4 linked regions of the Schizosaccharomyces pombe genome follow. Changing the gene in region 1 together with any one later gene gives a genetic interaction. Each region holds a gene or a part of one and is shown in the gene's direction. Other genes may lie near its edges. The genes, in order: gcn20, caf1, meu10 and vac7.

Region 1 (8,388 bases):
TATCTGTCTTCACAATTTTTACGAAGCATTGGATTCTTCAAAAATCTATAAAACGCTACAAGGCTTTAGTGCGCTAATTTAATACGAAGATGTAGACTTCAAAAAAAATGTACGACAAAGAACAGTTACCATATGCATTGAGATTATAAGCTACATATACTAGTGAAATACACAAGAAAGGAATTTCATTTTCTACTCAGAGATTAGGATTCATTTTTACTAGTCAAAGAAAAGAATTACTCCTCTTCGGCTTCTTCACCTTCACCACCCTCTTGTTGAGAGCGGAGACGCTTTCTCTTGCAGCGACCAGGGCGACCACCACCATATGGAGAGGAAAGAGCAAAGTCGATATGCTTTTGGGCATCCAAACGGACAACGAAGGAAGGAACATTGACAATTTGCTTACCAACACGGATGTGACGTTGGAAGATCAACACACGTGCATGATGGATGGACTTAGCCAAACCAAGCTTAAAGACTTGAGTTTGCAAACGACGCTCCAAAAAGTCCTCGATACGGAGAGCCAACACATAATCAAGCTTCATACGGGACTCATCCAAAATGCCCAAACGAACAAGACGACGAATGATGGCATTTCCCTCGAAAAGACGCTTAGGATCCTTCTCGTCAAGGGTCAAAAGCTCACGAGCAGCACGACGGATTTTAGAAAGGGTAAGTGCTACACGCCAAATTTCATGCTTATTTCTCAAACCATATTCACCAGCAAGCTTGAGCTCGGCATCTAGACGGGCCGACTCGAAGGGACGACGAGGAACCTTGTAAGTCTTGGATTGCTTACGAGGAGCAGAAGGCATTGTTTGTTTGGTGCTTTGCGCAACCTACCTTTGCTATGTATTTTCAAGAAGGCACAACAGTGACGGCTTTTTGAGATACTGTAGTATTAGGTTAGGGTTTTGTCCCATCACCATCCCGTACCGATATCCTTACTACACACTATTCCTACTAACCCTCTAGCTTATATCCTTGTGAAGGAAAAGCAGAAGTTAGATTTGTAAATAGAAGGTGTTGTTTATTTTTTCTAAAATAGAAGATCACATATGTAAGGGATACACTGTATCTTGTGAGTGCGTATTAAACTCTATTTGAAGATATTAATTGCACAATCCTGTGAGTGTTGTGCTGTTACTGTCTCTTTTTTGGTTTTTCTCTGAAATTGATCATAATTATTGACGATTTTACTTTTTTTCGAGTTTCAAAATATAAAAAACAAGTTTTTTTTTAGTAGTTCATCTTACATGGGTGGTGAACTTCTGAATACTTTAGACTATACATACAATTTAGACGTACATATACGTACTTACATAAAGAAAGAGGATTTCGATTACTTCATTTGTTTAGATAAGTCGAAAAATCTATTTTTGCTAGAATATTGATCTTTATTTTCTTCTCTCATTTCTCTCTATTTTATTTCTGAAGGATTGATCAAAAAATGGGTTTACCAGTTCATAACCAGCCCCATAAAGCACACTCGGGCTCTCCCGCATCTACCTTTTCCGCTGCTCTGGTTTCTTCTGCCATTAGCAATGTTATTGGGTATCCTCTTGACTCGATTAAAGTTCGACAGCAAACTTACAATTTCCCAACCATTCGCTCTTGTTTCCAAAACGCTGTTAAAAACGAGGGATTAAAAGGTTTGTATCGTGGTCTTACTCTACCATTGATATCAGCCACTCTATCGAGGTCAGTATCATTTACGGTGTATGATTCCTTAAAACTTACATTTGCTCATGTGGATCCTACACTTCGGTATTTCATTTCCGGGCTTGGGACTGGTACTTTTATATCACTTTTTGCTTGTCCATTCGAGTATTCAAAGTTATATTCACAAATTGACATGCTTCTTCGCAAAACAAATATGGGCCGTCGGCAAGAGACAAATTCCAAGCTAAGTGTCAGACCTCCCTTGTCATCTTTCCAGAGCGCTTCTGACATTGTTCGGAGGTATGGATTTACTGCATTATGGAATGGGTATCGTTATCATCTAACCAGAGACGCTCTAGGATCGGCTTGTTATTTTACAATATACGAAACCTTTAAGAAAAATCTGATAGCGAATGATGTGAAGCCGCATTTTGCTTATGCCTTCTCTGGTGCTTTTTGCGGCGCTTTGTCTTGGATTTTGGTATTCCCGGTGGATACAGCCAAATCCATTGTACAAAGAAATACACTCTTATCAATTAAAACCCCTTTGTCTTCCATTCCTTGGTTATCGTTTACTATATATCGAGGTATAGGTATTTCATTGATGCGAAGCGCTCTTATAAATTCTTGCAATTTTACGCTTTTTGAATTATTTCGGGAAACTAAAGTATTAAGCAAATAGTTTTATTCTAGTTTTACGAAGTCTTTGTTGTCCATTGAGTCGATAACCCGTCGGAATGCATTTCTATACATATTTTAACTTGCATTCGACTTGCGGTTGAAGTTTAATCACATTTTAGAACTGGTTTTGTCGTATATATTTAAAGTCCCATGGAATACTTTTACAATTTTTTTGATGCTATTTATTTTTTATTAAAAGCATTTTTACCTTCAAAAACTCCCCTCTCATCACTTTTCATATCATGTGCTGCTGTTAGTTTGACAGTAATTCCACTGAACTTGTTATACATTTCACGAGTTAACCGTTTCAATCTGAAAGTATATTTTCTTTTCCTCTTTTCCCTGTTTTTTTTTGTTTTGTTTTGCTTTTTACGTCCTGTTTTGGTTAATCCAACTCTTTCAATATCTGTATGTACCTACGCTTTTTTTTCTTGTATAGTTGAATTTTGTTTTGTAGATTTTTGGTAGAGGTGTAAATTGGATGAAATTTTTGAGACTAATAGTCCTTCTATTTCAGCGATTGTTTATTTGGGCATTTAAAACTTTAGCTATTAGATTTAGTATGTTTAATGTACTTTCGGACAATGCTGGCTTTCTTACTCAATACATGCTACCTAAGTGAGTTACCACTACCATCCACATATATTGTGAAGGAAGAACAATGTCTCGAATTTTGGTACGTTATACATTGCTTTTTTTAAGAATTTAGGAGCTAATATATAGAAATCACTAAGTCGTAGTTATTCGACCACCTCCCCTCGTCTTTACGGTATGAAATGACATTTTGATTTTGATGAGATTACTAATGGCAATTTAGTCGATGTAGTACAGGGTTTATATATTTCTTCTTTAAGTATGTTATTATATTCTCTTAATTTACCAATTTCTTACACGTCGTGTCTTAGAATCATATAAGCCTAAAGCTGTCCCTTCCGAAACGGCAGCTGAAGTAAAGGAATGGTCCATGCCTAGCGCTCCTACTGCTCCAAAATACGATGTTGACTTTACTTCTGCTTTAAACTCTTACAAGTATGAGGGAGAAACCATTCCCACTAAGGCTGCTGGAGAAAGCAACAAATTTGACTTTCTTGAATCAGTATGTATCTCTTCCTTTACATTGCATCAGCTAACTTTTCCTTCAGTATGAGAATGAAAAAGAACATTAAATTTATTCACTGCTTTTCCTATGCTCAATTGGAAGATGTTTGGTAATTAACTTTGATTAAATTTTGCCTTTTATTTTCCGATTATGAATTTACATTTTCATCTACGTCGTTGAGATTTGATTTTATATCTATTTCATGCCTTTGTCTGATCCTTCTTTTGATTGACCACGAACGTGGATGTATCTCTATAACTCCCGTCTCACTATGATTTATATTCTAGGTTAACGTATCCTTTTTCTGCTTTCTAAATGTCTTTGAACATAGCTGAATTCAATGCTTAGTCGTCTCTTCGATTACGGCACGAAACAGTTGTTGCCTTGATTGATAGAAAACCACTTTCATTGAGTTGAGATGTTTTTCTCTTTGCAAAGTATTTCTATTGAGTTCACATTTGGATTTTTTTTTTCAATTTATATCAACTCAATACAATTGCTTTTATTCAACAATAAGGATTAGCTTGATAAAATTTGATGTCTACTGTGGGTCATTAAAAATATCAGTAAAGTTCACAGTAGTTTTCTTGGAATTGTAATTTTTTTTCTTAAAAAAATATATAATTCACTATTATAAGGTATTTAGTATATTTTCATGCCTAGTCTCATCGTTTTGCCGATTGAGGCTTCATATATAGCAGTAGTATAACTTGCTTAGTACTATCCACCTCACATCCAACATGGAGCAAGTCATTCAGAATAATTGCTCTGAAGTAGACCCTCATGTCCTCAGCTACTGCACTGGATATGCTAATGATGCTATTAAAGATGTAGATGAGGCTTCAGACCATACGATCTCTCTCATTCGTAATTTATTGCTAGATGCTGGCGCTCGTGAGGAAGCGGTACAGCTCATACAAAACGAACTAGAGAAACAATTTAAAGAAAGAGAGGAACATCTAGATACATTACAAACGAATGGACTTGTTCGTTTGAAGGAGACTATTCGAATGGATTCCCAATCCGAAATTTCGTCAACTATGGGTTTGGTTGGCGAAAAGATGGAATTAGATGCTGTAAAGGGCCGTAAGGTTGAATCTAGGGTAGATAGAAGAAAATTAGAGAAGGCTGAACGGAAGATTCGTGCCAAATGGGAGAAACGTACTATCAAAGCAGAATACGAATCTTCAAAGTTGGTTCAACCCGAACAAAAGTCTTATGAAGAGTTTTACATGGCTGTAAATCCTCTAGATTTATCCGGAAGTAACCAAGGAAAATCGAAAGATATTAAAATTGATGGAATTGATCTTGCTTTTGCTGGTCATCGTATATTGACTGGTGCTTCGTTGACACTTGCACAGGGTAGACGATACGGTTTAACTGGTCGCAACGGTATCGGTAAATCTACTCTTCTACGTGCTCTTTCTCGCCGTGAAATTGCGATTCCTACCCATATTACCATTCTTCATGTTGAGCAAGAAATGACAGGTGATGATACACCTGCCCTACAGTCAGTTTTGGATGCCGATGTTTGGCGCAAGTATTTGATTCAGGACCAGGAAAAGATAACTAATCGTCTATCAACGATTGAAAAAGAATTGGAAGAACTTAGTAAAGACCAAACTGCTGATCAAGCTATTTCCCGTCGCCTTGAGCGTGAACGAGACGAACTTGATTTACGGTTGTTAGATATTCAAAATAAGCTTTCCGAGATGGACTCTGATAGAGCAGAATCACGCGCTGCTACTATTTTAGCTGGTCTTGGATTTACTCAAGAAATGCAAAGCCATGCTACCAAGACTTTTTCAGGTGGTTGGCGTATGCGTTTGTCATTGGCACGTGCTCTGTTTTGTCAACCAGATTTACTACTTTTGGATGAACCTTCGAACATGCTTGACGTTCCCTCAATTGCTTTCTTATCTGAATATTTACAAACTTATAAAAATATCGTTTTAGTCGTTTCACACGATCGTTCTTTCTTGAATGAAGTTGCTACTGATATTATTCATCAACACTCTGAGCGCTTGGATTACTATAAGGGTAATTTTAGTCAATTCTATGCTACTCGTGAAGAACGTTGCAAAAATCAACTTCGTGAATATGAAAAGCAAATGGAATACCGCAAACATTTGCAATCATTCATTGACAAATTTCGTTATAATGCTGCCAAATCATCCGAAGCACAAAGTCGTATTAAGAAGTTGGAAAAACTGCCGATCCTTGAAAAGCCTCAAACTGAGGAAGAAGTTGAGTTTGAATTTCCACCTGTGGAAAAAATATCTCCTCCTATCTTACAAATGTCTGATGTCAATTTTGAGTATGTTCCAGGTCACCCTATTCTCAAACATGTTGATATTGATGTTCAAATGGATTCTCGTATCGGTGTGGTTGGTCCCAACGGTGCTGGTAAATCAACAATGCTTAAGCTTCTTATCGAACAACTTCATCCAACATCTGGTATAGTTAGTCGGCACCCCCGACTTCGTATTGCATACTTTGCACAACATCATGTCGATACTTTGGACTTAAACTTGAATGCCTTAAGCTTTTTAGCTAAGACATTTCCTGGCAAAGGTGAAGAAGAATACCGTCGTCATCTTGGCGCTTTTGGTGTTAGTGGACCTCTTGCATTGCAAAAAATGATCACGCTTTCTGGTGGTCAGAAATCTCGTGTTGCGTTCGCATGCCTAGGTCTACAAAACCCTCACATTCTTATTCTAGATGAACCCACCAACCATCTGGATATGGAGTCCATGGATGCCTTGACAAGAGCTGTTAAACGCTTCCAAGGTGGTGTGATTCTTGTTTCTCACGATGTTGATTTCTTGGACAAGACATGTACCAGTATTTGGCAGTGTGACCATAATGTCGTCTCCAAGTTTGATGGAACAATTTCACAATATAAGAAATTCTGTCTATCTCAACAGCCAACCATGACTATAAAAACTTAATGGAATAGCATAGACTTAAATAATAATAATATAGCTGGCGAGGATAAATAAAATCAAATTCTTTTATCTATGAATCTGGATAAAATATGTAAACGAAGTTAACTACATTTTATACAGTAAAAGACATGAAGTGTTAAATAAGATTAAAACAGTAAATTAATTATAGCTAAGTAAGTCATAACACGGTAATGGACAAGAAACCTGGAAAGCATGCAAATCATCAACCAACACCCAAAAAATAAAGAGAACAAACCCAATCAATTAAAAAGTAAAGAGGAGGAAGGGGAGAAGAGGAGAAAATAAGGCGGACCAAGGAAATCAATAGCAGAAAAAAAAAGAATATACAGACTAGTAAACAAAAAAAGAAAGAGAAAGGAAAAAGTTAACTCATTAAATTCGTTTAGGAACTTGACTAGAAAACCTCGAAGGATTTGGAAAAAAGGACATGGGAAAAGACGTAGGGCGAGAGATTGATGGAGAGGAGGAAGATGAAGGTTGAGTTTTGACGGCGTTGAACGATTTAAAATTCTGAGAGGTGAAAGACTTTGGAGGAAGAGGAATGGACGGATAGGTATTAGAGGTTAAAGGACGCTTTGTAGAAGTATTAGTAGCGTTAGAAGAAGAACGTCCAAGGGGATGCAATTGGGGAAAGCTCCGAGAGGATGAAGTAGCTGAAACAATATGACGGGTAGCAGAGCCTTTTTGAGAAAATCACTTTTAGCTCTCGCCATTAGAGAACTTTTTGGACAATAATTACTCATGGGACGCGGACGCTTAGGAGGCCGAGCAGCTCTAGGCTCACGCTCTAAAGGAACAATTCGCTTGTTTTGTTTACTTTGCTCTAGCTTGGTGTAAGCACTTCGAAGCTTAGCAGAAGCAACGTTATAATGAGCATTTCTTTTTTTCTTAAGTTTTCCGTAGAGCCCTCTCCAATCATCAATATTGTTCAATATAGTTCGTTTTTGAAGTTCTAATCCAAAATCACGCAAAACGTGATCTTTCCACAATGGTTGAGTGTCAACTTTCAAATGAGGCGACTTTTCTTCCAAGTCTATTAAATGTTCTGGTCTAGCTTTTTCCAGGATAGGTTTTACGAGTTCGAATGGGCAATCGCCAATATCATCGATGTCGTGCACATGCTTCTGCGCGACTTGGATGCACAAATCTTTTAAAGAATACATCGCTCATATGATAGTAATTTTTAAAAATTTCAAAGAAAACGATCGAATTAGAGCTCTATAGTCTTCAATTGGAAGAGTGCTTTTACCTTATTTGAATGTAAACAAAACCAATTCAACGGGGGAAAATGTGTTTCAAAGAAGGAAAGGTCCAGAATCTATCGATTAGCTAAATTCCTTTCCTTGTTAGTATATGCGTATAAAACGCGGAGAATCTAAGTGCGAGTAAAAAAAAATTCCAGATAATTGTTTGTTTCCGACAAGTTGAAAAAGACGGCGAAGCAAACCTATTTGTTCACTTATACAAATATATTAAAAAATAATTAAAATCTTTAATTTGTTAACTCGGTAAAATCGTTAAATTATCGCTAAATAAATTTATCGACCTTTATCAAATTTTCTTCATTCAATTTACGAGTTCTCAACCACCGTTTCGTTATAAATATTTGCGTATTCAACGTTAAAAACCGTAATTATCCTTCTTGCCTTTCCGGCCCAGTGGAAGTTCCAATGACGCCGCGGAAGGGCTGCACACCTCAGTAGCGAATATGGGGAAAGAGCAAATTCATGCTTGCCACGATGACTACCTGGATGCTTGATGTAGGTGACGTGTTACTTAAGATGAAAATGTAAATACAAGAGAAGAAATGGGTCAAGAAGGCGATTAATGGATGAAAAGAGAAATTATTCATAGAAAAATTTTTCCTTAAATATGCGCTTTTATTAATCTTTCGTTTAGGTTTTTTTCTCTCGTAAATTAATTCAGATATAGGTATTTAATCAACATTGCCAATTTCAACAAGTTTTAGGGGTTACG
Region 2 (7,466 bases), on another chromosome or scaffold:
TACTTTAAGGTATTAATTATGAATTATTTATTCCCGTTGAAGTAAATTAAGTATGGACAATTTGCTAAGTTGAAGACTGACTTCGCTAAGGGAAGCACTGGACGAAAAAAGTACATATTGGAATGAAGTATCACTATATTATACGGTTTTCAGCTAGAACATTAACATAAAAATATCTTCAAAAGACCTTTAAGCATAATAAATTTTTCTAAGGTTATAGGGTAAATGGTTTAAACACAGTGGTAACAATAATTCACGATTACTATCAAGAATGCGAGTCTAATTTCAATAGACAGACTATTTAATAAGATTTAATGGACTTCATAACTATCTCAATAATTATTTATCCAACTTTTTTTTACTTGCTTACAGAACCTTAAACACTGAATTAGTTTATACCAAAACAAGTTGAAAACCGATACTTGAAAAAATTTTTTGTGTATAATACTTATTAAAAGCCTTTATTCAGAGAGTAAAAATAAATAGGTAAACACAAGGGAAGTACTTTGTGCTTGGAAATTCTGACTGTTCGTCGCTTAGTAAGGAAATAACTATATTAGTAGCGAATAAAAACATATATTAACCAAAAAAAGCTTTCAACTTTTTTTTTAAAAATCAGGACTAACGATCATTCGACGTTCAAAGGAACCAAGGTTCCAAATTCGTTTTGAATCATAATCAACAACGGCTATTTCTTGTAGAAATAAACAATCTGAACCAGATTGAACAACAAAGTTTACGCCTCCCATCTCCAATGTAGTTTTTCCAGATTGATGAACACGCAAAACTCCAATCTGACCAGCAGGTGGGTGAAATGCGGGATAGGGTAAAGATGTTAAGTCGTCAATATTACCATTTTCTCGTCCATGTTTATCAGGATCCTTTTTTTCTTCTACGTCAGTCTTTTCACCTGCCTCTTCCTCCTTGACTTCGGACGATGGCCATACTGGATCGACATCCGCATCACCCATAAACCTAGGAAGCTTGTCAGGGAATTGCATCAGAACCATTTGATCTTTAAAATGATCTTCCATTCCTTCTTGCTCAGTCAGTCCAAGGTGTTGAGCTAAGGATTGCAAATCCAAGGCAACTCTTTCTTGCTCTTCGTCCTCCTTGTTAATAACTGTCGTATGAATAGCGCTTTCAGCATGGTGCTTGAGTTTTTCATCATTCGACTCAGGAAGCATACGATCCGTAATTATGGGGACTAAAAGATCTTTCCCTCCAATATCTGTCTTCCCCTGCTCTTGGCCATTTAATTCTCGAAGTTTAAGAATGTCGACCATGTCCTCATCATGGCCTTCATCATGGCCAGAAGAAGCAGCAAGTTTGGACAGGGCATCATCTTTTTCTTCGTTTTTGACATTAGGAGGTGGCACATACACAGACCCTATGGGGCGGCCAGTACCAGAAGAAGAGGCATTAGGGCCTAATGCAAAAGGTCCTGAGGCAGTAAGCTTTATTTCTGGTTTCGGCCTTGAAGCTTTCCATTTTTTTTGAGATTCGACGTCAAATTCTATCTTAACACGCTCATCCACATCTTTTTCTTCAACAGGCCCATTTTTTCTTCGTGGGACGAACTTCGGAGTAAATTTTCTCATATTTCAGACTCCTGATTAAAGAAAAAAATATATATAGGGCAAAATAATATAAATTTTTTGTTTTGTTATTTAATTAGTTTATTTTTTCAACTTGGTTAAACTAATAATCATTCAAAGGCGATCCAACAATTATAGTAACTTGGATGAAGAAACCTTGTCTTCTGATCAACAATTGCTTGTCTTCACGACGCCAAGGTGAATACAAGAATCACAGATTTATTGAAAAACTTTTAATTTTTGTATTTAACCAAAATACACGAACCCTCGATTGGCCTATTTGGCGTGTAATTGGTATTGGGTAAGATCTGATCTTTCCAGTGCTATATGTATCTAATGATACTGAACACTAATAGTAACTCTTGAGACATACACTTTTCAACAAATATAAATATAAAAATGGTTTGTTTTCATGTCTTTTTAATATTACTAGTTTTTAAATCAACTTTTTCTGAATACTGTTTCATTAAATATGAATATTTTTACGACTAAATATTTGACGCACAATTATTTGAATGATTCATCAGGTAGGAATAACAAGTATGAAAAAGCCAGCTCCAAGCCTTAAAAATTTTTAAACTAAAATAATTTTCTAAAATGAGTACCGCTTTTTCTTAAAACTCTATAAACTTTGGAAGGTTACTCGAACCAAACTTGGATAAACATACGAAAGAAGAGATCCGTAAAAATGCAGGAATCGGAAAAGAACCCTAATTGTGTAGCAATTTTTATTAAATAATTTTTTTAATGTAAGAGCTGCATTGACAACTGCTTACAGTAAGGTTTAAATCAGTATTTGTCAAAGTCTTCGAGTAGCTTAAATTTTAGAAATATAATATTTGTTAATTTTTGAAGGAAATATTGAATTGGTTCAATAATCAAGGCTTTTTAACAGTTCCCTGTTAAATTAAATTAAATGTTGTTATTAAAATGTGGCCGAAAATTAAATTTGATTTAAACAAAAAAAAAATTTACGAGAATTTAGATTCATTTACCTAAAGTGTTAATGATTATATTTATTGCCTTCAAAATCCCTGCGTCGAAATAAATCCGGGCCAAGATGCATTAGGCTCATATTAATACTAACTGACAATAAAATATCAAAGTGTGAAGAAAAAATTTATAAATAGGTAGCGCGAAGGTGAAAAATCATACATTTGAACATCCATCAATATTAAGGAGAAAAGTAAATATAACAAATTTTAAGGGAAATTCTAGTGCTGGTAATTCAATGCAATACTACTACTGGAAAATAGAATAAGGAATTGAACGTCAAATGGCTTCTGTATAAATTTGTTAATGTCATATTTCCATATCTTTCAAGCGGCATTAAGCCATAAGGAAATCCAATTCTAATTGAATACAGTCAGAAAAAAGAACTCAAATACTCCTTTAAGATGTCTATTTAAACTGAAATACCTGCAAACAAGTAATTTAAAAGTTAGGGAAAAAACAAATTTAATTTTTAATAGGATTTTGTTAAAATTTAGTGGTACATGTATCCTCGTTTAAAATTAACCTTATTTAACATACAAAAAACGAATATGTTGCTTATTGAAGAATTCAAAGCTGGGCTTATAAAGTAAAGAATAAATTTTGAATTCCAAATACTGCAAATTTATTATGTTTTTAATAATACACATATTTTGAAAAGAAGATAGATCGTTGCTGAAGGAGCATGTCTTCCTCTTGCGATACTAACACTAACTAAAGACAGCCATGACTCAACAATTCTTTTGAGTTGTTTGAAGGGAAAAGTAAAATCTTTCAGTTATAATGTTGCCAAATAAGAGATCAAATCTTAATAATTTAGATGAGATTGCTTAAGTTTAGGCTCATCAATTCGATTGCTGACATTAAGATACAATTACAGAAAATAGTATTTTTGAAATCTCTCACTGAGGTCTGGACTTAGTACTTACTAAAGATAACATTTCAACACTCTACAAAGTGACTCATACTTTAGCTTTCTTGCTGCTACTCTCCCTTAATAAATGAGCTTGAACGAATTAATCGTTGCAGCTTTAAAATTATTCTGTCGACTTACTAATGGCATAAATTTACTTAAAAAAATATTTTTTAGATACGAGAAGTTTATAATAAAGAACAAAAGTCAGATTGCATATTTTTTTGCCAAGTTCAAATCGTTATCCAAAGTAGCTTGGTAAGCCGACAGAAAGTCTTTGATTTAATAAATATTCCAAACAAACATATGACAGTATTGTTCCATTAAAATAACTTTAGTTTCACTTGTAGGTTAGTTAATACCTAACTTAATAGTTGACCCTTCTATGACTAACTTTTAGTTTCATCATCAATGTTTTCTCTTGTGATTAGAAGAATTCATATAAGGAAATTGTGGTATATTACAGTATTCACAATTAACGCATCTATGTTCAGCGGATTCTTCAACAATCCAAGTCTACTTACACCAAACGAAAACCTACTTTTCCAGGTTGGTTTACATTATAGCTTTGCTGTTTAAAAAACGTAATGACAGCGATGAATTCGAATTTTTCTTATCCTGCATTAGGAGTGGATGGAATCAGCTCCCAAATATCACCAATTCGGGACGTTTGGTCCACGAATTTGCAACAAGAGATGAATCTTATAATGAGTCTAATAGAAAGGTATCCAGTTGTTTCTATGGATACAGAATTTCCAGGAGTAGTTGCTAGACCTCTTGGCGTCTTTAAAAGTAGTGATGACTACCACTATCAAACTTTACGGGCAAACGTAGATTCATTAAAAATCATTCAAATTGGGCTTGCTTTAAGTGACGAGGAAGGAAATGCCCCTGTCGAGGCATGTACATGGCAATTTAATTTTACATTCAATCTACAAGACGATATGTACGCTCCGGAAAGCATAGAGTTACTCACAAAAAGTGGCATTGACTTTAAGAAACATCAAGAGGTTGGCATAGAGCCTGCAGATTTTGCAGAGCTCCTCATTGGTAGTGGATTAGTTTTGCAAGAGGAGGTCACGTGGATAACGTTTCATAGTGGATATGACTTTGCCTATTTATTAAAAGCCATGACACAAATCCCTTTACCCGCTGAATATGAGGAGTTTTATAAAATTCTTTGTATTTATTTTCCGAAAAATTACGACATAAAATACATAATGAAATCTGTGTTGAACAACTCTAAAGGTCTTCAAGACATTGCTGACGATTTACAAATACATCGTATAGGACCCCAACATCAGGCTGGAAGTGATGCCTTGCTAACCGCGAGAATATTTTTCGAAATAAGGTCGAGGTATTTTGATGGTTCCATTGATTCCAGGATGCTCAACCAGCTATACGGTTTAGGCTCAACCGGTAGCGTTTTATGGCACAACAATTCATCTACCCCACAGATTCAATTCAGAGATCTTCCAGGTGCCCATCCTAGTCCTACTCCATCTAATGCTGGGATTCCCACCACTTTAACGAATACTTCTTCGGCACCTAATTTCGCCAATTCAACATTCAGATTTCCTCCTCGTGTAGTTTAGATCACGAGCTAGTTGAAAACATACCGTTAAAAAATTGAAGTCCTTGAAAGTACTTTCGGGATGCTTGTATTTTAACTTAATATATTCTCGTTTTCTCACGTATACCCTTGCTTGAACTTGTTTACTCGATATGCTTTTCTAGATTTTTTCCATAAAATCTATACTTTGGATTTTTATATGTTTTTCTTTTTATTTAAGAGATTGGTTGGAGTTTCCCGCTAATTCAGCATAAAAGTTTTTGTATCCACTCATTTTCGTGAGGAGCATTTTCCTTCTATTTTGTTGCGATGATTTACTTTAAAATTATTCATCTTCATTCCCAGCGAAATGAACTCTCTTGCATCTGGAAGCAAAAAAAGCCTTTCATCGGGTTTTGTATTAATAGATAATATAGTCCATTTCCTTCATATACTGATAATGTATCCGTGTATTTGTAATTCGTAATAGCTTAGCATCCAACCCAGCATCAACGGTGCAAACCGGCGTAGATTTCAAGTCTGATGTTTATCATCGGTCAACTCCAATGCTTCCCCAAAACAGCTCTATGTGCATGTTGTAACAAATCTTCATGCAAGCATCAACTTTAGTTAGTAAAGCTTTTTTTTTTTTGATAGGTGCTTTATCCTGTGATTTAAAATATTACAATCTCAAAACTATTATTTTAGTTTTTAGCTTTTATTTTATCACTAAGGTTCCCAAGCCAATGAACAAAATATCACCTACCTCGTCGTCCCAACCATTTCTTGAGATACTGAAAATTTTCAATAATTCTTCTAGTTAATTTGATCAAGCATAAAAGAATTACCTAAAATTTATTTTATAAAAACTCTAAGATCTTGTTTCTCTTGTTCGACATGCAGAAACTAATTTTTTATAACCTCGCTTAAATCTAGCTTAATTAGCTATAATTGTTTTTCTATTCGCTGAAGATCGTTGTTAAAATTATCGCGATGCATCATTGGCGCGATAAAATTTATCTGATCACAGCTCTTTTAAGAATACTAAGTGTAAGTATTTTTCATTACTACCACTACCAAATCCTTCCTTTTTTAAATCCTTCTAAAATGGCGACTTTACTGCCTCCTAAAAGTAAACGTCAAAAAAAGGAGAGCTTAAATCCTACTACTATAGAAATTCCTGAAAAATTCCCGCTCGTTAACGTTCAGTTTCGGGCGTCAGATGATAGCAATGAACTGGCATCACTTTTAGTTCCTGGAAATAGTTCTGTTAGGCAATTGGAAGCCTTGTTGAACCAATTATTAGAGAATGTAAGAATGAAAGTTTTTTTTCTGTAAATGTGCTAACATAATCCTCACAGTCCGACGATCCTGTTCCGTATAATTTTGCTCTTCATCATGAAGATGAAACTATCGAAATTCAAGATAATTTATACACTTCTGTATTTCACAATGGACTTATGAAAACTGAGGATCACTTAACGTTACTCTACACTCCTCAAGCTGTATTTCGTGTCCGTGCTGTTACTCGTTGTACTGCATCAATGAATGGCCATGATGGTACCATTATATCTGCCCAATTTTCGCCTAGCACAAGCTCGAGGCTAGTTACTGGAAGTGGAGATTTCACGGCAAGGCTCTGGGATTGTGATACGCAAACCCCTATTGCAACCATGAAGGGTCACACTAACTGGGTGTCTTGCGTCGCTTGGGCCCCTGATGCCTCTATCATAGCTACAGGAAGCATGGATAATACGGTGAGTAACTTTTTGATGGATTTATGATTTTTTTGTCGCAAGTCACTAATATTTTTAGATTCGTTTCTGGGATCCCAAAAAGGGGAGCCCTATAGGTGATGCTCTACGACGCCATACGAAACCTATTATGGCACTATGTTGGCAACCTTTGCATCTTGCTCCTGACAGTGGCCCCTATTTACTAGCTTCTGGATCAAAAGACAATACAGTTCGTATTTGGAATGTCAAATTAAGGACGTTGCTTTTTACTCTCTCGGGTCATACCGCGCCAATTACTTGTGTCCGTTGGGGCGGTCAAAACTGGATTTATTCCTCCTCATATGATAAAACCATACGGATTTGGGATGCTAAAGATGTAAGTGAAGGAAATTGTACTTAGGGATTATTTACTTACTAATTTTGAAGGGAAAATGCTTGCATATTCTAAAAGGTCATGCCGCTCGTGTGAACCATCTCTCCTTGTCCACCGAGCATGTCTTGCGTTCGGGTGCATATGATCATACTGATTTTAAACCAAAAAGCTTTTCTGATGAGCGTCGTAAGGCCAAAGAGCGTTATGAGGCTTGTTTAAAACAGTCAGGAGAGAGATTGGTTTCTGCCAGTGATGATTTGCAATTAATATTATGGGATCCACAGAAATCAACGAAGCCCAT
Region 3 (9,362 bases), on another chromosome or scaffold:
ATTTCACTAGATTGTTTTTCATCTATATACAGGAAACGCTTGGTTTCGTGACATTGAAAGGCTAGTTTGGAAAGACAATTAATGGCTTCACTTGGGGCCCTCGAAGAAAGCGATACCTTCCAATTATCGTGCTTCTTTAATATCAAGGGCGGCGATTGCACACCGGTTATTTTGCTTACTAAAATGATAACCATATTGGAGCACAACACTTTGCTTCTTGAGTCACTTGGATTGGAATTGTTTCCTTTGTTAAGTTCATCGACAGAAAAAATATAAAAAGGTTCCCATAAATTGTTTGCCATAGCCAGGCCGGCACCTTCGTTTTCAGCATCGTTAGGGGCGTCGGTGGTAGGGAAATAATTCGAATTGTATTTCATGTTAAGGGAAACTTTTGATATCGCTCTTTGAACATTGCTGGTACCTAGGAATAATGCATTGTTATGCTGAGCCCGGTATCTGTTGAATAAACAAACGCAATCACCATGGCGTATGCTCATGTCAGACACTTTCATCAGTGCACGTTTCTGACTTGGTTTAGAAATAACCCCTAGTCTTAAATTTTCAAGTTTGAAATACTTGGTTTTTGATTGAACCGAAAGTTGTAAAAATGTGGACCGGCCAAAACCATCATTTTTACCTTGGCCAGTATAATAAATAGTTTTTAATAGAGCATTACCCCAGACAGGGAATGAGTCAAAATTAGTGTTTTCATTATAATTTGTAAGCTGATAGGTAGATTTTGCAATATCAGTTTCAGGACTGATTAAAGCACCATCTGCATTATAGTAAAATATGTTTTTTGCAAACTTTGGATTGTCTTTGTCTTCCAAAGTTTGAGCAGAGATTTTCAAATTGTCTGTAACATTATTAAGCCATGTAGTCCCTAAAAGGTATAGCACAATGGGCGGACAAAGATATCGTCTTTCCGTTCCATAAGATTTTTGGCAAAGGGATGGCATACACAAATAAAAGGCGCTTAAACAATGGCAATTTGACAAAACATACTGAATCCGTTGTTCAATGGTGACGGGCTGGGAATAGACCATCATAGGGATAGAATCATTTCTAGCTGGCTCGCATACGGCCGATGAAGGTCTATTAACTAAAGACTTTGGATAAGTATCTTTGTTTTGGGAGTCTTGAGGATACAAGCCCATCTGCTCTGCCGATGTGGGATAAAGATTGGGAATCATGGATCCTCCGTCGACGGTAGTAGGATATTGTTGAAACGATTGATTTGGCACATCGGTTCTGGACAGGGGTTGTTGAAAATAAACAGATGATCTATCATAAGGAGGCATCATTGAAGGAGACTGCTGATAGTATGAAAGTTCTGCATGATCTTGCGAATAACTTTTTTCCTTCTCCTGGTAAGTGCCAAATGGAACACTCGGAGAATAAGGAGTAGGAAACCTTGAGGACGGAGAAGAGATGTTGCTTTGAGCAGCCTGATAATCGTTTAAAGAAATAAAAGAATTTTGATACTGACGGTAATTATTGACTGTTCCCAGTACAGAAGCTTTTTGTGGTGGTTGTAAATTTTGAGATTGAGAGGGGATGCTCTGCTTGGAAGTTGAGGCATAATATTGATTTGGAGAAGAATTACGAACAGAATCAGACGATGGAACATTGCTGTTCATGTTGACCTTTAATGCAGAGGTAGGTCGAAAAGAGGGGACCGGATGAGCAGGAATCAGAGGTTTCCGTTGTAACTCATAAGGATAAGAGAATGCATATTCATCATGATTTGGGACGGGTTGATGAGTTAGGCCTTGCGAAAGGTCATGCTGAGAAGAGAATGACGGAATAGTGGTATTAGAGGAACCATTTTGTTGTAGATTTTGATAATCTTGCATTTGGTTTAAAGATGGGGACTGAGTAGGGAGAATATTTGAGCCGGTAAAGGAATACGCATTGGGTTGAGAGGAATGGTCAGGAAGGACAGAGTAATTGTTTTCAAAAGTTGCTGGCGGATAAGGATGCATCTCATTGGAAGGATTCATCGTTGTATAAGGTGTGGAATAGGTTTGGGTGTTATCCTGTGAGTCCTCCTGAGGTAGACCAAAAGAATGAAATGAAGGATTAGCAAATGCTGTGCCATCTGCGTTCAACGCTTGAGATTCGTTTTTTTCCGAGTAATACGGACTCACTGAAGACGTGGAGTGGGCCTTGGAGCTACTGATGGCGGGTGAAACCGAGTCTCCATAGATGCGAACGGGTTCCTGTAAAGAGGTGGATTTGGCGAGTGAATACAATTGTGGAGACTCTAAATTAGCATTGATGGATCCTATTGCTGTAGCGACTCTTCTTATGTTCCTAGTTGAATCATAAAACTCCTGTGTTTTAATATCTTCGGAAGAAGGACGTTTCTGAACGTTTGGGGACATAGAATTTGACGAAGGTGAAAAGGATGCAATCTATTATATCCGTTTGGAAATTTTAAAACTTTTAAAACAAGCCTTTCACCTCTACAGCTGAATTTAAGAGATCCGTGGACGTTAAGTTTAAAAGTTCATGTACGCGCAATGTCTGGTATTTGATGAGCTGAGATCACTTAACTTTCCCTCAACATTAATTGCAACGAACAGGATGACCTATCAAGGGTAAAAAGTAAACTATTTAGCTAGCGTAAAGGTTGTTACAAAAGTGTTGTGTTTTCGTACAAAGTCAGGAACCAAATTTCTTAAGTCAATTCATTAATTTTTGTAGCAGTCCTAATCTTCCTTTTTTTTCTTTTTATTATTTACATGATTCCCTAATTCGGAGAAGTAAAATGTTAATCCGGTATTACTTGGATATACAGCCTTACGACGTTACCGAAAAATCGTTAAACAACATGTACTTTGGTTTTTCCGATTTTGCCTATAGCACGAATTGAGTGTGATATTAACGGGAATACCACTGAAAATAGAACGGCCAACAACTGTGACTTCGCAAAATTTTAACTGTTGGATGTCCAAATGGTGCAGAATGTTTTCATACCAACCACGCACGTCCACTTAGTATTCCCAGGATGGTAAATTGAAAAAATAAAATGCACGATAGGATAGGTAAGCCTCTTAGCAAGACCGAAGATTTGGCTTCCGTTGGTGACATTCGAGACTCACTTTGAATATTAAGCAGATGAAGTTTTGCCGCTTCTTAAATTCCTGATAGCAATTACGTACAAATTTTTTTGCTTGTCGGCGCCTTTTTAGGTCCGTTGTCGGTTGACACCTCAACGATGCCAATTCTCGACTTTTGAGCTTGCGAAGGAGATAAAAATGTTTTAAATGAAAAGGTTAAAAAAAAGGTTTAAGATTTTAAAAAATTTAAAGCAAGCAGTTTTCGGGAATCAAAATAATGTATGATGAGGATTTGCAGCGAATCCTAGATCCAACGGATGAGTCCTATTGATTAGTCAGTTATAATAATCCAAAGTAAGTTTTTCCAGTTATGTTCAACTTGTGCAGTTTTACGTTGACATAGCAAATGTTGGTAATCAACGAAGTAAACACTCTCAACATTCAACCAGTCAAGTTGAGCATTGTAAAATAGAGACAATCCGTGGGTCACTTATGATCAACTTTCCTCCGCAACGGACGCTATACCCCTCAATGGGATAATGTTACCTCGTGTAGAGAAAAACAATGAAAAAGTCGATCGCATGACGTTGCTGACATTGTTTACTAACATTGCAAAGTAAATAAATAAGTAAACAATTATACCAAGTAGGTTTGTTTACATTATGAAAAAAAAAAATTTTAAAGAGTTGCGTTGATTACTTTCTTGGTATTTACTCTCGTTATTTTTCGCTGTTCATTTGTGTTTGTTATTGTTGAAAGTTGTTGTTGATGGTAGGTGTGGTGCAGGCTCAAGGCCGTATTTATAAATGAATTAACGAATGTGTGAACCGCATATAGTCCATTAACATACATTCAACTTATTACTTAAGATGTTTTTAGTAATTGGGGTGTATAAACCTGAGTAACTTTTACCATATTAAGATGAGTTGGGCGGTTTCGAAATCTATAAAAGGGCATGCCAGTGAGTAAACTACCTGGAAATAACCGCTACATTTTTATTCCTTTTAACAAAAATCGTATAAATAATCCATTACGAAGAAAGACTTCGCTCTGTCCTCTTTTCTTACCCAGCATATATATACATAAACTTTTGTTATATTAGCATTCGTTTAAGGCACTTTTTCTTGTCCAAACTTTAATCAACAAGGAAATCATAAACAATTAAAGGTTCATCATTTCCAAACCCTACAAAGACCCGAATTCATTCTTCAGTATTCATAATTTCATTTCCAATCCCTTCCTGCTACGACAAAAATTTTGGTCGTACTTGATAGATTTTATTGCTTTTATTATCCCTAACAACTTTTCCCTCCTTTATATTCATTCTTCATTTATCATAAAATGCGCTTGTCTTCACGCTTTTATTTGTTTACCAGTTTCACTGCGTGGAGCGTAGTGATCGCTGGTGCAACCCCAGCGGTTTGTGGTGCCCCCGAGTACATTATTGAGACACAGAATGACTTGGACGTTTTAAGCAACTGTCAGGTTGTGAATGGCTCTATCATCATGAACACTAGCTCAGCTACTTCTTTGAATTTCAATAGAATAGAGACCATTACCGGTGATCTCATCATTCGTAATAACAACTACCTTGCATCGGTAGCCCTGACATCCATTTCCAGTGTGGGTGGAGAATTACGGTTTGAAAAACTCACACGACTCGCTAGTGTTTACGCACCTCAACTGGCAAATGTTGGCCAATTAACGATGCGTATCTTGCCAAATCTTCAAGGGATTCGATTCGATAAGGGGATCAAAAAGGCCCATAAGCTCACCATCGAGGATACCCAACTCTCCACACTTGCAGGTATTTCTTTGAATACTACGGATACGATGGTAATTGTTAACAACAATTATTTGCGAGAAGTTGATATGCCCTATTTGGAAAGTGTGGAGTCGAAGTTTTACGTCTCTTACAATGCCAGGGAGATCAGTGTTACCCTTCCTAGACTTAAAACCGTGGGTGACATGACGATTCAACGCGTAGCTCACTTACAACTTTCGAATTTAGAAGAGGTCAAAGGATTTTTAGGCTTCCTCAACAGCACGTTGCAGGATATATCATGCCCAAACATTACACGAATTGGACAGTCTCTTTTCTTTATAGGCAATCAGGAATTGACTTCGCTAAATTTCAAGCAACTTGAGAGCATTGGAGGTACTTTTATGATTGCCAACAGTGCAGCATTGGCACAAATCAAAGGATATGATAAATTGAAGACCGTAGCAGGATCCATCGACTTTACCGGTAACTTTAGCAGCGTTGAACTTCCCAAGTTACGAGATGTTAAAGGAGGTTTGAACATACAAACTACATCGAGCGACTTTACTTGTCCCTTCCGCCAGAGCGACGGGATCATCAAGGGCAAATCGTTTGTTTGCCGAGGATCGGTTGACAATCCCAGACAAAGCAAGGAGTCTTCTTTCGATGATGACGATTTTGATGAACTGTTAGGAAATGGAACAATTAAAGGCTCTAAGAACAGTACATCACCGGTCAAACAAAGTGGTGCCGCTAAGGTAGATAGCCGACCTTTCCGTCTTGTTACCTTTTTCCTTGTCTTAGTAAGTGGCTTTGCGCACTTGCTTTAAAGCCAAGAGAGACAAAGTTGACAATGTAAACGCAAGTTCATTTGCAAGATCGAAATCTACCCTTCAAAGCCATGCCGTCTATGATTAACCTGTTTCTATTTAAAAAGTAAATAAATGCTTTCAAAATAATTAGAAGGAAGATTTTCAACCAACAAGGATTACAAAAAAAAACGGCGATAAGTTTCGTTGCTTCATTTTGGATCACTTTACTATTTGCTGTTCCTTAATGGACACAGTGAAATGACGAGAAACCGGTTTTCAGTTGTTTTGTTGTGAGTATGGATAGTGAACACTTTTTCTTACCAATGGTTGGCTTTTCCTCGGTTTATTTATTTATTTTTTAGTACGGTTAGGAGAATGAAAAAAAAAAAGTATTTTTAGTGACTCCAGGTTCTATTGGCTTCTTATTTTTAAAACAAAAATATTCATCATTATTCTTACTATCACAAAACTACCAGTTATTATGTTTGTCTATCGATAACAGCACGCTACTTTTCTAGATGAATCATTTGTTTGTCTTGTTGTAGAGTAAAAGGCAATTTTTTACTAACAGTTAAACCCGCGCGTAGATGGTACTAATTTTATGCCATGAAACATATGATTTAAGTGGGATAAAAACGGAAGTACGAGAGCTGAACAATTTATCTGACAGGCATCCAAATGAATTAATATATAAACCAAGGAATGTGAAATTACATGAGTGAGTCAAGCATGCCTTTCGTCGTTTGTTTAGTCAACTAACAATTAGTGGTATTCAGAATGCAAAAAATATTTTTCTTTGTGTTGCCTCGGGTGTTTCAAGCCTTATCCATCCGAGGCACTCGTGCCTGTAAAAAATTGCAATCGGATAGAAGGAAGGTAAGGAAAGTGGATGAAATTTTTACGCGAATGCGGAGGAAGGCAAAATTTCTTGAAACAAAGTTGGTCGAACCTTGTTAAGTAGTAGAGAGTGTATATGAAGTATGGAAAAGAAAGAGAGAAAGGATGACTTCTCAACGAAAGATGAATTTGGCAATCACAAATGTTTCATATTTGGTTGTCAAGTTTAAACGACTTGCAACCGAGCCGATCACTGAAACAATTTCCAATGATCATAACTAAACGATCCTACTACTTACTGATTTGACGTAATTTGTCCTTTTGTTAATTTTTGGACGGTTTGGATCAAACATTTGAAGTTGCAAATATGATAAACTTACTGCTTGATTAAAAAAAAATAAATAAAATAAAAAAATTAATGATAGAACAACAATGATAAGAGAGCATCATTCATTATGAATGAGAATGTGTTTCATTGAAGCAATAGTTTTTGTGAACATACAAGGAGTGTTGTGATGAAAGAAAATGCAATTTGCCTTTCCAGTTTCTGATACTTCGTAAAGATGATGCTTTTTGGCTTTTGCTTTGTTTAAGGGTAACAAACTTGTGAATTGCCCAAAGCAGAGATGAATAATTTGAAATGAGTTTGCTACGAATTATCTGTATTTATGAATTAATGAAGGATGGATCTAAACCATTTAACAGGTGTAAATAAAAGCTTCATAGATTCTGTATAGTGATTAACAGTTTTTTGGAAAAATAATTTAAAAAAAAATTAATAATAATAATAATAATTTGGAAAAATAATGTTAGAATAACATACCAAAAATACCAGTATATTCAGACAATATGTTTTAAAACTTAAAAATGATTGTAGAGCAATGATTTTAATTATAGCTACGATTAGAAATGTTAAATGTTATTATAGTGTTAGTTTTGCGTTCGATTTAATTTTTGGTACACACGGGATATAACAGTTTGATTAAGCATTACCAATAGAGCAATGCAAGTTAAGAGGTTGTTTAAGCATGTTGTTGTCTAAGAGACTCACAAAAAGGTAGGTAAATGGATTTATTGCTAAACGGAAAATATTGATTTGAAAATTAAATTTTGGTCGTACATACTTTATTCGTAACAGATTTCATCAAAATTTTCACCTACAAAACATTGGAACTCAAAGTGTGACTGAATTCACAATAAGTAAATAATTACACTTCATAGCATACGATCCATTATTTTTTTATAGGTAAGGAATTTATTAAACTTTCCTTGATACCAATCCTCTTCACATAAATATTTATTTAGCGATCGCGTCGTTTTCCAGCGGACGTATGATTAATAGTTTGGTAAAATTGGTTTTTTAAAGCTTAGAACGGAACGGTTTAATATAACAAAACCACGAAACAATGGGTTTTTCGTTTTCCATCCTTTTTTAAAAAAGTTCATCACTCTCAACAGTGAATGCCACTCTCTCTCTAAAAAAAAACAGCGATTTGCTAAATCCTTTAGACAGGAATTACAGCTTCATCACGTAGTTGATATCTAGCCGTACACGTCTATTTACCCTCTCCATCTATCCTACCGTGAACTTGTTAAAAATTGGGATCGCCCGTTTTTTGTCAACAAAAACAAAACAAACTCTGTCGCAGTATTCATTAAAATGTCTCCGGATCCACACGAAAGCTTTAATGGTTATTAAAGGTTTTCATCATCCGTACATTCACTTGCTAAACAACGTTTTCAAGCTAAGCGATAGATAGAGACAGTAAAGGGGAAAACGTAAACGAACGTCTTCATTAACCAAGGTCATCCGTCTACAAAATACCCTGTACATATTCGCACCAAATTAGCGATAATGACTACAAGCGATCACAGTTGTCAAACGGGATAAACGAAATATATGCTTAATTTGATAAGACGACAAATTAAATCAAGCTCAAAAGAAGATTTATAAAGTACGCCATGCTAAAAAAAAACCCCTTGCTTCCTGACATCGTACAAAAACTAAACTGCTCACAAATATACTAAATAATAAATAAATTAGTTAACATCACCCATAAAGATATCAAATCTATTAGTTCCAAAGTCTCCTCTCAAATACAATAAATACTTTTTTTTATATATTGTCCTTGGGTCTGTAACCCACCAATATATTTTTCCTTAAGAAAAGGAATGCTTCAGTTGGTTAGTGGGAATACCGTTTTCCATTATACACTAGATGAGCGGAATAATAATACAAACATCGGAGTGCTAAACGGTGTTGAGTGGAAATTGCGTAAAAGGTTAATAATGCTGAACACCAGCATTAAAACTGATTAAAGGATGGCTTTGCTTAGTTCCTGAACGGAACAAAAACTAAAGCAGTGAAACATTTTATATTGCCTGTTTGACAAAGAAATGATACAAACTACCAACAATAAAGATAGAAACCGAAAAAGACAGATTCGAAAAACAGACCTTTTGTTGACATACTAACTTTAACGATAATATGTAAAGAATTTTTTTTTGTTGAAAGTGTCAGTAGTTTTGCAAAGAAAGAGGAAGGGATAGGAGTTTTTTAAAGTAGTATGAATTGGCATATTTTTCCCGAATAAAGAGGAAACTATTATTAAAACGATCGCAGAAAGCCTGGAAAAACTTAGGAAAAAGGAAGGAAGGAAGGAAAGAAAGTAATGAAAAATTAAAAAAAGAAGAGAAATCCTGTTATAACTTGCTGAGATAGGATGTTATACGAAAACAAACAAACAAACAAACCCTTCATTGCTTTAAAAAAAAAAGCAATGAAAATAACTTAATGAAGGTAATAGCGATCGTAGGCAATGGTTTCATCATCTGAATCGCTATCGTATGTATCACCGCTTCCATACTCATGGCTAGCTATATGAT
Region 4 (7,210 bases), 1.6 Mb from region 1:
TAAATCATATGATGTTTATGTTATTTGTTGAAATGAAAAACCAAACAATTTTCTGACCAAAAGGTCTCTCTTTCCATCAACTAACTTACTTATGCGAACAAGTTGAATGTAAAAGATCAACAGAAATATCGTTTAGTCTCGTTAAATCCAATTACGAAATGCTGTAATCACGGACATTGAAAGCAAGGAGATGGGACATTAAAAAGACCAACGCACGGAAAACATAAGACACGACCGAATTTTGTTTTGGGTCTTTTAGAGCCAGATTTTCTGTTCTTTGTATAGCTATTGTCACAGTTAAATAAAACATGACTGCGGAAAATGCCACATTATTAGAACCAGTTTTGGGAAAGGATGAGATAGGATGGATGTTCGTTCAAGAATATTATACATATTTAAATAAAGAACCCAATCGTCTTCATGTAGGTCGTCATAATTTACCAAAAGTTTTTTTTTCTTCAACTTGTGAACCGTACTAACTGTAATACAGTGTTTCTATACTAAAAAGTCAACTTTAATTCACGGAGACGAAGGCGAGAGTATTAGTCTTTGTCATGGACAACAGGTATGCTTTAACACAATTCTTATATGTAAAGTTTTTGAGGTTGTGATATTCTGCTTGCGATTTTCGAAACTCTATGATCGTTGTCTTGCCCAATAGTCATTTTATTAACGTGTTAGGAAATTCATAACAAGATATTGGACTTGGACTTTCAAAATTGCAAAGTACTTATTTCAAACGTTGACAGTTTGGCTTCTTCGAATGGTGGCATTGTCATCCAGGTCCTGGGTGAAATGTCTAATAAGGGGAAATTATCCAGAAAATTTGCTCAAACATTTTTCCTTGCAGAACAACCAAATGGTTATTTTGTTTTAAACGATATTTTCCGTTTTTTGCGTGAAGATGTTGAGGAAGAAGAGGAGTCACCTGATGCTGTTGAAAAAGAGAAAAAAGATGTTGCTTCTGAACCTTACGTAAATGGCGTGCAATCTCAAGAACATTTACCTTCTGCAAAAGAAGAAGGCCATTACCAGGATCCAGCTGCTACAGAAAATAATTTTGCCACAGCCGCTCTTATATCAAATGAGACCGACAGTCTAAATCAAGCTACTTTGGCTGTTCCTGAAGAACCCGTTATCCAAGTTACGGAAGCCTCAGTCCCAAGTTTTGTTTCTCAGCAGGAAAATCAGCTTCAAGATGAAGCTCTGACTTCAAACTCGAAGAATGCTGATGCTATAGGGGCTAGCGATGCAAATGTTGCTACAGCACCTAAATCTTGGGCTGATCTCATAGCTCGTAATCATCCTGATGTGAAATCCCAAGCATCAGTTAGTTCTACTGCGTCTACAACTGGTCAAACAGTTAAAGGTGTTAATGCTGACCAAACTCAGCAGCCAACAGCGCCGTACACTCAGAGTAATGAACTGTTGGAGACATCTGTATTCGTCAAGAACATTCCTCCCGAAACATCTGATGTGTCATTGAAATCTGCTATGAGCATTTTTGGACCAGTCAAGGCTATTGAGTTTGCTCGTCGCAAAGGCACCGCATATGTTGATTTTGTCAACCATGAATGCGTGCAATTGGCTTTGAACAAAAAAACTTTGCAAATTAACAATGCCACGCTGAACATAGAAGAACGACGCCGTCTTTTTTCCGGTAAATTCAACAAATCGGGAGATAAGAAGTCCAACGATAATTATAATGGAATGAAAAGGAATTTTCGCAAAGGTAACCGTGGTGCTTTTGACGGTCGTTCAAAAGAAGTGACTACTTCTAAAAAGCAAAATAATTAAGTGTCTGTTGTCCATACGGTTTTTAAATTATAACTGATTTGTATATACTATTGACTCTTGACTTTTTATACATTAGCAGATGCCAGTTTTCTTGCGACTGTGGAGAAAGAATTACTGAGCTCGCAAAATTTTTGATTGTTCACAATCTATTTACTATATATTAGTATACCTTTGATGATGTTCACAATTGACATCAGCGCCTCTATATTGTCTCATTCCAAAAACCTCCGACTATTATAAGCCTTCCTTTTTTAAAAAAACAACGGTGGTTTGTCCGCTTGATTCAGTTTACCGATAACGCCCAACCCTACTTCATTTTGTAGAGAAATCTATTATTTTTACGGTTTCGCCAATTTTCTCCTTTACATCCGTTATTGTTGTTAGAGTACCTTTAAATAAAATTTTATGTATTCTAGTTTCTAAAATTTTTACAAAGAGTAAAAAAGGAGCTTTTATTAAAAATATTCATAATAAAGAATTCATTTACTCTAAAGGTTAGTAAGAAAAATTATGAAGTCAGAAAAATGAATGATTGGCCCTCAGTATGTCAAATATCGTCCCACATCGCATGTCAATAAGACAAACGGCTCCGTTGAAGAAATTCAAAAAAGCATCACTGGGCTTATAACATTCATAAAAACATACCAAATTTTTCGTTCACAAACAAAATAAAGACTTTTAATAGGAACTATAATTGTCTTCACGATCACCACATAGATCCATGATATATGCAAGTTTTTTGTTCTCTAGGAAACTAATGCCGGATTCGAGCAAAAGTATTTGTGTCACGTTTCTAACGATTTCCCAACGGGCACGCGCTAACTTCAAGTCAGCTAATACACCTTCAATTGAGCTTCTATAATCAGATTCTTTAGACGCATACAATTCTAAAGAAGAAGAAATAGATTGCACTGAAGGAAGTAATACAGATTTAATATTTTCTTTTTCCTTCTCAATTTCTTCACTAGTGAAGGTAATACTGCTTTCGATTTTTAAATTTTCTTCCGACAAATGTTCTGTCTCGTTCAAAGGGCTACTTATAAAGCCCAATGAATTAGACTCATCATATAGTCGCTGATATAGTTGTCCCACTAAACTATTAGTAGTCATGAAATTGAGGATTGAGAAGGCAGCATTTCCTTGTACACTATCACCACAAGTTTGCATAAAAAGAGAAAAAAGAATTTTCCAATGTCTTAAAACGTTATTTTCCCATTTTTTCAGGACGTGCTCATTCCGCTGTTCTTCAGATGGTTCATTCGAGATAACCGAAATAGGTTGATCGGCAAGCAGTTGTAAAGCCCCTAGACAAAGGTTTGATATTTGGTCGTTATTATCCATACGGTCAGTTCGTTAAGTAACAAGCATTTTCAAATATTGAACTAATCAGTATTTTCCTAAAAATCGAGGAATACGGAGATAAAAAGCTTTAGTACTAATAAAAGACTATTACATGAAGAAACCAAAATCAGAGATTATTTAAAGGAAACCGGGAGTTCTACAAGTTCTCCTGGTTTTCACGTAGTAGTTTGCTAACGTCAAAAATTTTAAGGAGTTATTAGCACTAGCAGCTAATAATTTAATTAGGGTAGGGCTTGGCAACTTGACGTTTGTCAAATGTATGTTGCACTATTTATCCTTTGCCAATGTGGAATGCCAATACATATACATAGGAATGGAAATATCGAAAATCAAAATATTTTCATAAGCTAACTTCGAAAATACGTAAATTCTGCTAATCAGGAGGATATGTCGGAGCCCAAGCCTATGCAAATGTCTGTTGAGACTGAGACGGTCTTGAATGTGTCTCAAGTGCAGATTCCGAGCAGTTGCGATAGAAAAGCGTCTCTAGAAACCCTTAAAACAAAAAAAAATGCTCAAAAGAAGAAAAAAATTAGTTTGCCCAATGGTATGCATCTAGCAGCTGCTAGCTTTTGAGGACACAATTTGTCTATTTCAATCATTATATTAACATGCATTTTAGTAATGACTTCCAAAGCAGCTATGTTTGCAGCAAGAGTGGCCTCTGCCGTTGATCAGGATCCAAACGATGAAGAATCAGAAAATTTTGTTTACGAAAACCTAATCCCTACCAATGATGATGAATTACATTCTCCTTCAGCATCCATTCACTCTTTTCAAACATACAACCTTCCCTTAGAAATGCTGCCAACTATAAATCATGTGCCTTATTATGGATCGGCAGGCACTAACGCGCTCAACGGAGGCCCACTTAGTAATAGTCGCAAGTTGATTCCCAAACGGTCTGCAAAATTTTCCAGCATGGTTGGAAGTAGTGACACTAGATGTAATAGTCCTACCACTGCTAGAGGTTTGGCAACATCGCCTTTGCAAATCAATCCTACAACCTCAAAGTCACCGTTACTTAACAAAAAATTATCCTCCACTTCTCAGGAGCCCTTTCGAACAAGTAGAAGGTCTGGTCAGGAAAGTGGTGATGTTACTACGAAAATGCTTAGAAACTTGCTCCATAAAAGATTATGGATTTCATTTTTCTTTGCTTGTTTTGTTGTGCTATCTCTGGTATATTTTCATTATGCAGTCCAACCGTTGTTATAAGAAGTGAGATACAACTTATACGGCTCTTTGATTATGAAGTCAGGCCTTGTAAAGCGTTTGCTAACCTTTTGTTATTATGCCCTTTTGAATTATGTTAATGCCTTATCGTTTATGTGCTCCTTTTGGAAAAATTAACTGTTGTTCTGTATTTTGATGCTGTGTACTCGGTCAACTCTTTTAAAGGCTAATAGCACCTATTGATTGCCTCCATGGAAGTTGTTGTACGCAGCAGTGATATTGAATTTTACAAATGTTGTTTTCTAGTAGGGAGTTTTCTATATTTTTTTAATTATTCCTACTAACCCTTAATCTTAATTTTATAGTTTAATTTGATTAATGTTTACTAATTTACGAGAAATCTTACTTGGATTTATCTTTTAATTAACATAAACGTTCTATTATTCGGGGCTCAGTAAAATGTAACAAACTTAAAAATCGTTAACATGTTAATGAATGAAATGCCTTTTTTAAGCAATTATTATACAGTTACATGAGGAAAAGATTTGAGTCCTAAATTCTCTCCTTGTGTGTAATTATTTCTTTTTTTACTGGAAATACTTCTTGCCAATTATAGTGAACGCCAAGTAAAAGAGCACCGGGATTAAAAGTTGGGCAACCTCCATAATGAACATCAAACGCCGACGACTCAGAATCTATTAGACCCATCTAAAAATATTAGCAAAGAAAAAAAAGATTTATAACGTACACAGCTAGGAAGCGGGAAAACTGATAAAGCATAATCAAAATCCCACAATATTGGTCGTGTTCTCGATGGAAACGGTGAAAGGTGAGACTGATCTAAAACTGTTTTAACCAACTAAACAAATTAGCATAAAAAAATTATAAGAAACTTGCTTACTTTTCTTTGCTGATGCACTTGTTGTTCTGCAAGGGGTATAGAATTAATATTGGAGGTACCTTGGGGAGTCTTCCCAAACTTTAATGAATTCCTTTGAAATCTTCCTGATATATCGTCTCTATAAATTAGTACTTCCTGAGAAAAGAAAATGATGCGGCAAGGGTTTGAAGCGAAAATGGTATGCTTACAAACGCGTTGGATCCGATTTACGAAATGAAGGGGTATTGAATGCTTAGGCATTAAGGATATCCCATTTGTCGTCCAAGGGTCGTTTGGACCGGGGACAAATATGAATTTTGTCTTTTCGCAAATTTTTGGAAACTTCTCAAGAGAAGCTGCAAGCTTATTAAATCCTTCTTTATATTGAATTGAGCTTCCTGAATTATGGAAAGCGGAAGACATAAAACTTCCACATAATATTATACAAAACGGCACAGCTTCAGAGGATTCATATTTTTGGAATATTTTTTCTAATGCATAGAAAGTTTGATGGTTGTCAAGATGAACCTCGCTGATACAAACAAAAGCTTGTGACTGATATGCCTGTTCCGCGTGACGGAGAAGAGCAAGTTGCTTTGCATCCATATTCAACCCCAAAATATCTAAATTATTAAGGGCCTTCAAGGAAGCATCACGGCGTTCAATGGGAGGATGACCAAGCTCAAAAACTAAAAATAGCCCAGAACTTAGAAATTGACCATTAACAAGTACCAAGCAGCCAGGGCAAAAGAGACCGAACCCTTGTTCTGCCTGTGATACGTCTAGTTGAACTTGACTGTCAAGATCTTCCAGCCATAAGGTACCATCGGGAGCTATAGTCAAGAGTCCGAACAACAAAAATGTGTTTCCAGCTCGACCTAATAAATTGCGAATAGGAGTTAATTGATATGTACCTGTTTGAGAGAAAGAGCCACTGAAAGAAGGTGTTTGAAAAGATTCATTGCGTAAAATACGGCTATATACAACATTGAATCTGCGGTTAAGCATATCTGTGCAGGCACTTGCAGATGCCATTAAAGTAGGAGACTGTTTTGATAAAACGAAAACCTTTCTTGATGAATCGTACTTAAATTTAGGCATTTTAAAAGCATCAAGGACTCTAAAGTATTTCTCATTTTTTATAGTTTCACGGATTTCCGAATTACTCGAATTTAAAAATGAACCGGTTGTCTCAAGCGTTTGAACTCTTGCTAAGGAAGATACGCGAACTTCATGCGGAACATTTAAATTTGCCAAGACAGGGATCAAAAGAGGTCGAGTAACTATAGGTTGAGTTTCATGAACTCGTTTCCAAGTTTTTGCAATTTCGTCTAGTAAGGGCTCACATTGGGAACGCCATTGTGAGCCGCATTTTTTAGATACGAAAGATGCTAATTCCTGCAGTGAGTCACGATTAATATTGAGATCGTACTTCCTGGTAAATACGTGGAAAGCAACCGGACGAAGGGCATTGGGTTGAACTTCAAAACTAACCTGTTCAGGTTTTTTTTCTACCGAATCCGTAATGGAATTGTTCATTCTATTTTAAGAAATATATTAATGCAAACCCTTCGCTTTTTGATTTTATAGAATCGTTTAGTGCCCACTCACTGTATCAAGGACAGATCAATGTATATGGTTTTCTAATCAACATAGGATGTAATCAATAATTTTTTGGATTCAAGTGAAAAAGTTTCAAAGGACTACTGTAGATGATAGCTATGGTGTACCCTTTATTCACTGTTTGTCTAATATCAAAATGCTAAATGCTAACTTCTCAATCTGGTTCATTAAAATATTTTAACGCACTACTATAAAATCATAAACTGTGTCAGCTACGCAGTTTAATATCCATATTAACGATACGCTGAATTGCGGTGAGGTTTTCTTGCGATCTATTAAATTGCGATATAAAGGTAATATAAGTAGCAACTAAGTATAGATATTATACTATCCAACTTATAGCGTTACTATCACTAACATAGCTTATAACTG

The links.
Region 2: mutations in gcn20 (region 1) and caf1 together harm fitness more than expected from each alone (negative genetic interaction), as found in Schizosaccharomyces pombe (one large-scale study listed by BioGRID).
Region 3: mutations in gcn20 (region 1) and meu10 together harm fitness more than expected from each alone (negative genetic interaction), as found in Schizosaccharomyces pombe (one large-scale study listed by BioGRID).
Region 4: mutations in gcn20 (region 1) and vac7 together harm fitness less than expected from each alone (positive genetic interaction), as found in Schizosaccharomyces pombe (one large-scale study listed by BioGRID).

What each region holds. Positions count from the first base shown.
Region 1 is NC_003423.3:2,052,219-2,060,606, reverse strand, and holds gcn20 (AAA family ATPase Gcn20), read left to right. Parts: upstream 1-4,164; 5' UTR 4,165-4,182; coding exon 4,183-6,393; 3' UTR 6,394-6,466; downstream 6,467-8,388. Other genes in the region: rps902 (40S ribosomal protein uS4), read right to left, coding at 237-815; ort1 (carboxylic acid transporter), read left to right, coding at 1,451-2,344; atp14 (F1-ATPase subunit H), read left to right, coding at 3,005-3,019, 3,067-3,112, 3,161-3,196, 3,249-3,439, 3,486-3,509.
Region 2 is NC_003421.2:1,963,472-1,970,937, reverse strand, and holds caf1 (CCR4-Not complex CAF1 family ribonuclease subunit 7/8), read left to right. Parts: upstream 1-4,083; 5' UTR 4,084-4,091; coding exon 4,092-5,099; 3' UTR 5,100-5,508; downstream 5,509-7,466. Other genes in the region: DNA-directed RNA polymerase III complex subunit Rpc53, read right to left, coding at 609-1,601; oligosaccharyltransferase complex zeta subunit Ost5, read left to right, coding at 3,593-3,635, 3,692-3,754, 3,905-4,083; ribosome biogenesis protein Rsa4, read left to right, coding at 6,164-6,367, 6,418-6,813, 6,872-7,168, 7,219-7,466. UniProt on the Schizosaccharomyces pombe protein: Acts as the catalytic component of the CCR4-NOT core complex, which in the nucleus seems to be a general transcription factor, and in the cytoplasm the major mRNA deadenylase involved in mRNA turnover.
Region 3 is NC_003421.2:1,864,775-1,874,136, reverse strand, and holds meu10 (GPI-anchored protein Meu10), read left to right. Parts: upstream 1-4,041; 5' UTR 4,042-4,406; coding exon 4,407-5,657; 3' UTR 5,658-6,357; exon of another isoform or gene 6,358-6,415; 3' UTR 6,416-7,221; downstream 7,222-9,362. Other genes in the region: DNA-binding transcription factor, CBF1/Su(H)/LAG-1 family Cbf12, read right to left, coding at 1-2,387; serine/threonine protein phosphatase PP2C catalytic subunit Ptc2, read right to left, coding at 9,268-9,362.
Region 4 is NC_003423.3:3,651,999-3,659,208, forward strand, and holds vac7 (protein vac7), read left to right. Parts: upstream 1-3,432; 5' UTR 3,433-3,546; coding exon 3,547-3,706; intron 3,707-3,781; coding exon 3,782-4,377; 3' UTR 4,378-4,799; downstream 4,800-7,210. Other genes in the region: ubiquitin protease cofactor Nxt3, read left to right, coding at 309-422, 491-565, 682-1,797; CENP-H-like protein Fta3, read right to left, coding at 2,476-3,138; DNA polymerase epsilon catalytic subunit B Dpb2, read right to left, coding at 4,888-5,043, 5,084-5,194, 5,237-6,754. UniProt on the Schizosaccharomyces pombe protein: Component of the PI(3,5)P2 regulatory complex that regulates both the synthesis and turnover of phosphatidylinositol 3,5-bisphosphate (PtdIns(3,5)P2). Directly involved in vacuolar membrane scission.